2 linked regions of the Canis lupus familiaris genome follow. The protein of the gene in region 1 purifies or fractionates together with the protein of each later gene. This does not show direct contact. Links are inferred from orthologs where the notes say so. Each region holds a gene or a part of one and is shown on either strand. Other genes may lie near its edges.

Region 1 (4,209 bases):
GGATCACCATCTGAGCCAATGGCAGATGCTCAACCACTGAACCTCCCAGGTGTCCCATCATGTTCTAGTTCTATGCTACTGCTTAGTAGTTGCGTGATCCAAGGCTGCATTGGACAGTAGTGCACTACAGGGTAGGAGGCAACTGAATTCCATAAGCATTCTGTTCCTCAGATCATTTCCATCTGGGCTGATTCCCCCCTGAGTGTGAGTGTGAGGGTGGGTGGGTAGGTGTGTACCTTTTCTAATTCAGGAGGTGGCACTGAACAGCAGAATCCCAATGTGGGAGGGGAGAAGGAGGGTCTTGCAGTAAGCAATAGTTTGTGACTCTCAATCTCCTTACTTGTGAAACTAAGTTCGTTATGCTTGTTTAGTCTGAGTCAAACAAGAATTGGTGGGAGGGTCAAATTAGATTACACAAGGAAGATGCTTTTATAAAAAGTATGATATGAATATTTGATAATAAAAAAGTGATAATTACTACCATCACGCCCCCAGGGCTTTGTTTCCAGTCACTTTTTAAATCCTAGTAGTTAAGGAGTAAAACTGTACAGGCGGACCTCCTCAGTTCAATTTCTGGAAAATGTTTTGAAATCTCTGCATGAAAGGGCTTGTCGAAGGAAGAGAGGGCAACCTCCTGTCTCTGACAGGTCCTAAACTCCAGATTTATGGTTAGTCGGGTTCTTTTTGGCATCTAGCCAGGTGCTGTGCTTTATTCACTTCCAGGACAACTTTACTGCCAATCTACCTGAAGGATTTTAGTTTAGGTAAGTCACCTTTCCCTTCAGTGGGCTAAGATAATCAAGTTCACGTGGAACATACTTGTGTCAGGTGTTAGTAATTATTTTTCAAGCCAGGAACGGTCTGGGTAGACTCTCTCTGGCTCAGGTCCTTAGCTGATGGAGACACAGTGAGAAAAGCCCAGTCTGGAAGGGTTCTAACAACGATCACTAGTCCAAGTCCTTTGTGTTTACGTACGAGGAAGCTGAAGTCCCGAGAGATTCAATGACTTGTCCAATACAGGAGGTTGAGGGCTGGTACTGGGTCTGGAATCCATTCTTCTGTATCATCCTCTAGCTCTTTTTATAAGATACTTTGCAGAGATACCACACAAGTATGGAAGCCAATACCACGTGGGGCGTGTCCCTGAAGTTAGAAAGGTGAGGTCTGAAAACACCGGAGGCAGCAGTTTGGGCTATTTGTGTATTAAGTCCCCGCCCCCCACCTGCCTCGCCTCGCCCCGCCCACTTCCTCCGCGGTAGTCCCGCCCCCTTTCGGTGGCCCCCGCCGCTTCCTGGTAGCTCGGCCTGCTCCTCCCCCCGCCAGCGGAACCAATGTTCGGAGGCCTTCCAGGGTCAGCCGGATCTTTCTCGCTCAGACTCTTCGCAGCGGTGACTCGGCAGCAGCGTCTCTCGTCATCAGTGACCGCCCCGTACCTTGCTACGCTTTGCGTCGCTCTGCTAGGAGCAGTCACCTCCTCCTTGGCAAATAGTCCTCGGCGGGGTCCGAGTTCTTGGTTAATAGGAGAGGGGAGGTAGAAGAAGTTGCAGCTAGGGAACACGGAATCGACAAGGAGAGGGGGATAGAGACCCAAGTTTCTGCAGTACTGCGTGAAGTTAGTTAGAAACTCCCCGCTTCCTAAGAGGATCCTTCCGCCTGCAGTAGCGGTGGTGAGGCCGAGGGAGCCGCCATTTTGGATGTTCGGTTCCTGCTGCCACTGCTGCCGCCGCCCCCGGAGCTGCTGGTTTCATTCGAGGTTTCGGGCCGGTGAGTGTCACTCGCGGCGCTACGAACATATTGCTTCTTTTGCCCCGCGCCTGCTGGGAGCGCTCGGCCGGAAGCTTCCTGTCAACACCGGGGGTCCGGTCCTCGGCTTCAGGGGGCGAGAAGAGAGGACAGAGGCTGGCCCAGGAGGGGCGCGGAGTCCCAGGGGCTGCTCCGACTTCTTGAGGGCCGACCCGAGGCCTCGGACCCGGAGGCTCCCCGCGCGGCTGCGTTCGGAGTCGTGGCGCTGCCCGGCCGGTGCGGGCCTCCTCTGGACCCATCGACTTTCTCGGGCTTCGATCCTCTCTTGAGGGCTCGTTCAGGGAGCCCGGGGTTAGCGGGGCGGGTCCCACCCCCGCGTGTCGTCTCCGAGCTACGTATCAGCGTTCTCGTGTCTTGCACTCGGGTCAGGTCTTTCGTAGAACTCTCCAAAGGTCTTTCAGAGGCTCCGTTAGTCGCTGTCTGCCCCGCAGTGCCGGCCCCTCGGAACCGGACGTCGGCCTCGCCTCTCCCTAACCTTCCCACCAACTTCTTTCCCGATTTTCAGGGTCCCTCCCCAACTCCCGAACTCACCCGCGAGTCCCACTGCTTAGCCTTCTCGCAAAGCCCTGACCCTGCGGACGTCAGTTCCTACTAATTCTATCTTCTCGACTGTCTGGACGAGTCGGGACGATTGCTTCTGTTTCCTTGTTAGGGTTTGATGAAGGCGGTCCATCGGGCCGTTCGCTCGGAGCACACTTGAGCAGTTTTAAAGCTGATTGAATGGCTTTTGGGGAGGGGTAGGGAGAAGGCTGTCAGAGGTTTCTCTCATTTGTGAATTCTCTTCCTGTGCTGAACAGTTGGCTTTTTTGGGGGGGGGGGGGGGGTGTTTATTGACACTTCTGTACTTGTCTTGGTGTTGTATGTCCCGGGGCAGGGAAATTGCCTGAGAAGGAAGGATCTTAATCCGACCTCCGTAGTAAGGGAAGTAACTTTTTTTTTTTTTGGCTCCTGTCGCGATTAGTTAACAGAAGAGAGGACGGAAGATTTCTTTGTGATCTCAACTTGCAGGTGTTTCGTACGGCAGTGATCTTTGCTGATTCTTAAAAATACTTAGGTAGACCTCGTGTGTGGGATTTTTTTCTTTTTTGGGGGGGAGCTCGTTGAATTTTAAATGTTCGCTTCTACTGTTCCCCATAATACTTGTCAGACTATACCCTTAACCTTTTGGCTTAAAAATATAGGCTCTCCAGGTGTCCATAATCTCACCACTTTTATGCTGTTCTTAAAGTAAGTTTGCAGTGTAGCGTGCTTGAGTAAAAAGCATTTCACATTAATTCACGGATTATTTCCTACATTTTAAGTTAGGCGAGTGTGATCGAATCCCCTCTATTTCATCGCAGCCTGGGTTTTAAAATCTGCGAGAGACAAATAATTTAAGATTACAGTCTATAGGGACTGCTGAAATTTAAATTTGTAACTTGATGGACTCGATGTAGGGAGTGAAGAGGAAAATGAAAAAAAACATAACTTGAATCAAACCTTTTAATACTTCTAAGCCATGTCTAAGTGCATTGTTCTTATCAGGTAGATAAATTCCTGTACTGGTCATATGATGTTTCAATAGAAGACTGAATGTTTTCATTGTAAATAGTGTTCTTGTTGTTTGTTTTAAAGAGTCTTTTCAAAAGTATGTTAGTATTTGTGTATTTACTCTTGAGATAGGGAATTTCTCTTTTGGTTTGAAGGAACTGTCGAACCCCTGAACGTGTATAGGATACCTAACTCATTTACCAAGTATCCCCATGTAGTTATTGAAATGTTCATTTCTGAGCTATATATATTTTTTTCTGAGTTAAATTTTTTAAAAGGTTATTGGAAGAAATATCAGGTGTTACTCAACTCATTCATTTTGTATTATAATTATTGGTAGTTAAACGTTGTTCATTCTTAAGTGGTTTACATTCAATTGGAGAGTGTCCTTTTGCCTTACAAATTATAAGCAAAGTGCTGTTGATTGCACTGTTGATTAATCACATACTTGAATGTCTATTTTGTCTAAGGTGGTGGGATTATACTTGTAAGAAACATTATTGTTTAGGAAATCTCAATTCATTTTCTTCTGGGAGCAGTTGCTTGTTCCTTGTAGATTTGAGAGTTAATTTTATTTTTTTAGTGAACTCTACCTCCAACTTGGGGCTGGAACTCACAACCCTGAGATCACGACCTGAGCTGAAACCGAGAGTTGGATGCTCAGCTCAACCAGCTGTGCTACCCAGGCACCCTCAAGTTTTTTGTGATTTATAAAAACTCTTTACATACTGAAAAAGTTGAATATTTTCCAAAAGACTATTTTTAATTAAAAAAAAAAAAGAATAGGAAACTACATACCAAAACAGATTTTCAAAATGCTTAATCCTCTTACTTGCATTTGATGAGGATTTAAAACTTTTGTGTATAAAGCAGGAC
Region 2 (4,298 bases), on another chromosome or scaffold:
TCCCCAAGTTCAGAGCCTCTGGGAGTTTTGTAGGCTAAACCACAGCAGAGAACCTATCAGTCATCTGACAGTTTGAGAAACCCTCCATCCTTCATTCTGCTCCGGCCCCACTGGCCTGCCTTCCGTTCTCACCTCTTTGCATATGCCGTCCCCTATGCCTGGGACAATCTTCTCACAATGGACTCCTTGTCATTCAGGCCTCAGCTCAAATGTCACCTCCCCAGTGAAGCCACTACATCCCTCCTCCCCTCTGAGTATCACAGTGAGACTAGCACCCTAGTCACTGGTTCTCATGATGTCCTGTTCAATCTCCTTCATGCCCTTTAACTCCTCGGGACAGGCAGGGACTGCACCTGCCTTGTGCATAGCTGTGTCCCCTCTTCGCCTGGCAGGAGACAAATCAATACATATTCCTTGTTTGTTGTAAAGTATTTACTGAGCACTTTCTCGGTCACTGAGAATGCAATTTAGCAAGCACTCAAATTATTATAGGATTCTCTAGCCGTGCTAACGCTAACACCACCACCAAACCTTTACTGAGCACTCACTGTGTACTAAGCCCCTGTTTGAAGCACTCATAAATATGAATTTGACTAATTTGTACAACACCCCAAGGTGGGACTTGTTGTAACCCTCAGTTTAGACACTGAGAGAAGTGACTTGCTCAAGGTCACACAGCCAGGAAGAGTAGGGGGCTGGGACTGCAACCCAGTATTCTCTGGCCCAGGATTGAGCAGTGCACCCTCTTGAAGACCTGCTTGGTCCTTGCCCTATAGGGAGAGATGATCCCTTAGCAGCTAATGAGAACACAGAGATGGGGTTTCAATGGAGGTCAGGGGAAGCTTCCTAGGAGAGATGGATCCTGAAAGAGAAGAGCAAATGGGGTGGAGGGGGGTGGACAGACAAACCAGCTGGCCAACGGGAAGCCAGAACCTACCTCCACCGTCTTGTAGAGGAAGGAGTACACGAGGGAGGCGTTGGCATTCTTCAGCGTGGTAGCCACCACTATGTGCAGCAAAGTTAAGGAAAAGGTGCCGTTTTGGAGGTCTCAAATGGAGCCCAGATCCTAAATCCTCTGGCTGTCCCCCCACCCTCACCTCATTTCTGTCCATCCCCTCCACCCCAACCCGAGCCCCTGATGTGCTGTGCAACTTCTGCCCTCAGTCTACTCTCTCTGGGCCCAAGCTGCTACCACCCCAGGCCTCCAGGATCCCAGCTGGGGGCTGGATACAGTAGAGGTTGCTATGTTTGATCCACAGAAAATGCACCCGGCCATGGCTCAGTAGGGGGGCCAGGGCGCCCTCCTCTTCCCGCTGCATGAGCAGAGGCATGAAGTGCTCAATCTCACTCATGGCCACGTCGCCCTTGTAGTTGCGGCTGATCAGGGGCTAAGGGTGAGCAGAGAAGGCCTGGTCACGGCTGGAATCCGGGACCCTTCATCCAGGGGCGTCAGAGGGCCTGGTTCTGACTCTACTCCCTGGCTGACAGGCAAGGGCAAGACTCTGCTGCTCTCTGCCTCAGTTTCCTCCTCTGTAAAACGGGTGTGTGACCAGGGCAAGGTATCCAGGGTCCTCACTGAGGACCAGGCCGCGTCCTACCAAAGACTGGGTGTTTGCTAACTGATTATGTCCTCACTACAACCTGTGGGGCGGGCACCAGCACTATCTTCATTTGAAAGCTGGAGAAAGGCAGGTGTGAACCAGGTCTCTAAGAGGTGCGGAAATCAGGGGATGGGGAGGGGAGAGGAGGGGGAAGGAGGCAAAAAAAAAAAAAAAAAGATTATAGAAAGAGAGATCATACATCGCACAGAGCCGCCGGCTGGCAGGCAGTGAGCCCTGGATGCTAACAGTACTACCTCCTAGGGTGGTTTAGTCCAGGGCTGAGAACCAGGACCTCGCAGAGCCCGTCCTCAAGCACTTGAGCTTTCACCACCACCCTGGTTTTTTATTTATATATATTTTTAAGGATTTTATTTATTTATTAATGAGAGACACAGAGAGAGAGAGAGAGAGGCAGAGACACAGGCGGAGGGAGAAGCAGTCTCCATGCAGGGAGCCCGACGCGGGACTCGATCCCGGGACTCCAGGATCACGCCCTGGGCTGAAGGCAGGCACCAAACCGCTGAGCCTCCCAGGGGTCCCCAACCACCGTGGTTTTTTATATGAAATGACAAGGCGCTTGAGAGGGGACTTCAGGAGGGGACAAGGCAGCCCCAAACGGGAACGAGGGTCTCCCGCCCCTGCCGTCTTCCCCAAATATTAATCATGTGGATGATGAGGGTGATAAAAATCCTTTCAACCGACCGACCGACCGAACCCCTAATGTTTGCAGCGGGGCTACAGGGCCAAGCAGTCGACGCTCAGCGAGTTGCAGTCACTCCCAGCGGGTGGGGACCTCGTTCTCCCCATTTTTCCGGACAGGGAAACTGAGGCTCCGAGAGGCAAAGGCCCTGCCCGCGCGCGGCGCGCTGAGGGGCAACAGGGGAGGTGGGCTTCGAGCCGGGACTTCCCGGGATTGGGGGAGGGGTGTTCCCACGCTCCCGGGGCTTTCTGGAGCCCCCCCGCCCGCGAGGAGGGGCCGCCCCCGGGCGCAGGGGCGCGCGGCCTCACCTGTCCTGCCCCCGACACCCCCCGCGCCCGGCCCACCTTGCCCTTGACGTCGAGGATGAAGACAGCCGAGGCGGACATGGTAGCGGCCGGCGGACCCGGGAGGCGGGGAGCGAGCGCCGGGAGGCGACGGCGGCGCTGCTTCCTTCTTCCTGCGGAAGCGCCCGCGCGCAGGTGAGCGCCCAGGTGAGAGCGTCTTAAAGGGGAGGCGCGCAGGTGAGCGGCGCTGTCGGCCGACGCGAGGACTGCAGCAGGGCGGGGCTCCGGAGGGGCCAGCTGCCCCGCCTCACTTTCCCTCTGCTCCCGGGAGTGCGGATGGGAGGAGTCTCCAGGCCGACCAACCACCCATTGGTCCACCCAGCCAGCAGCCAGCCAGCCTTCGACCCACTCACCCCCACCCATTCATCCCCCCACCCATCACCCATCTCCATTTATGCACCCACCCACCCAGCAGTCCCTCCACGCACCTGACCGTCCATTCGTCCACCCACTCAGCCCCCACCCATTCACCCACCCACTGACCCATCCTTCCCCATCCATCCACCCATTCATCCACTCATCTTGTTTTTCTTCTGTCTCTCCCACAGGCACGTCAGCCCCAGTGGAGGATTTTGCCCTGTTCGTATCTGTGTCCCCAGGGCCCCACGCTGGGCACTCAATAATATTTCCAGGCCCGTGGGGAGGAGAGGGAAAAGAATAAATTTGTCCAAACCATGCATGCATGCATTCATTCATTCATTCAATAACTATTTACTAATTAATTTATTCTTTCACTCAGACATTTTCTGACTAGTAAATTTTTTTAATGACGAACTGTGGGTAGCACTCTGAGCAGAACAAACGTCGCTGCTTTTATTCTTATTCCTAATGTTATTCTTATTCGTTCCAAAAGTACTTATAAGCGCCTATTATGTGACACTAAGATGTTGACAAAATAAAGTCATTGTGACTATATTATAATGTTATTATTCACTCAACAAACATTTATTGAGCATCTTCTGTGTGTTGGACTGAGCATACGGAAGCGACTTTCGTTATGGTAATGCTGCTGCTGATGAGTCACGCAGTGGATGAATATTTATTGAGCGCCCTCTGTGACACTATGGGTGGCAAATAGACAAAGCCACTCCACTGGCTCTCTTTGAGCGAGGGTGAGAGGCACACAACATAAAAACCCCAAAACGAGATGATCTCTGATCATGATGGGAGATCATCTTGATCATCTTCATCATGATCATCTCTGATCAAGAAGGCGAGGGAACTGTTGGCAGGGTTTGAGGAAGGGGGGGACTGTGAGATCTCAATGGGAAGTCAGGGGAGGGACTGACATTTGCAAATTTCCCACCATGACCTTATGGGCTGGAAGAGAGTCCTCATGCAGAGCCTAGCATAAAGCGGGTACTAATAGTGTTTTTGTTGTTGTTGTTTATATGTGCTGGTAAAGCACAAGGCCTCCGGAGCCAGCTGCTTGGGCTCAAGTCCTGGCTCTGCCACCAGTCAGCTGGGTGACCTCAGGCACCTGTCCTCTCCTCCCTGAATTCTTGTCTGCACATCTGCGAGATAGAAATAACTTCCCTCGTTAGATTATCATGCAGATGCCTGAGTTACTACCCCCAACGCGACTCTCAGAACAGACCCGGGGTGTAGCCAACAATCAATATTATTATTAGGGGGCATGTGGGGGGGCTCAGC

The links. The genes of interacting proteins can lie anywhere in the genome.
Region 2: the proteins of AP1G1 (region 1) and AP1M2 purify together in Homo sapiens (affinity purification with mass spectrometry; 4 studies listed by BioGRID and IntAct, counting the BioPlex papers as one, with this or other methods). This does not show direct contact. The link is inferred for Canis lupus familiaris from reciprocal best matches to the Homo sapiens genes AP1G1 and AP1M2.

The regions. Positions count from the first base shown.
Region 1 is NC_049226.1:78,167,907-78,172,115, reverse strand, and holds the start of AP1G1 (AP-1 complex subunit gamma-1), read left to right. Parts: upstream 1-1,408; 5' UTR 1,409-1,764; intron 1,765-4,209. UniProt on the Homo sapiens protein: Subunit of clathrin-associated adaptor protein complex 1 that plays a role in protein sorting in the late-Golgi/trans-Golgi network (TGN) and/or endosomes.
Region 2 is NC_049241.1:50,992,657-50,996,954, reverse strand, and holds the start of AP1M2 (AP-1 complex subunit mu-2), read right to left. Parts: upstream 2,805-4,298; 5' UTR 2,688-2,804; coding exon 2,646-2,687; intron 1,389-2,645; coding exon 1,232-1,388; intron 1,006-1,231; coding exon 938-1,005; intron 1-937. UniProt on the Homo sapiens protein: Subunit of clathrin-associated adaptor protein complex 1 that plays a role in protein sorting in the trans-Golgi network (TGN) and endosomes.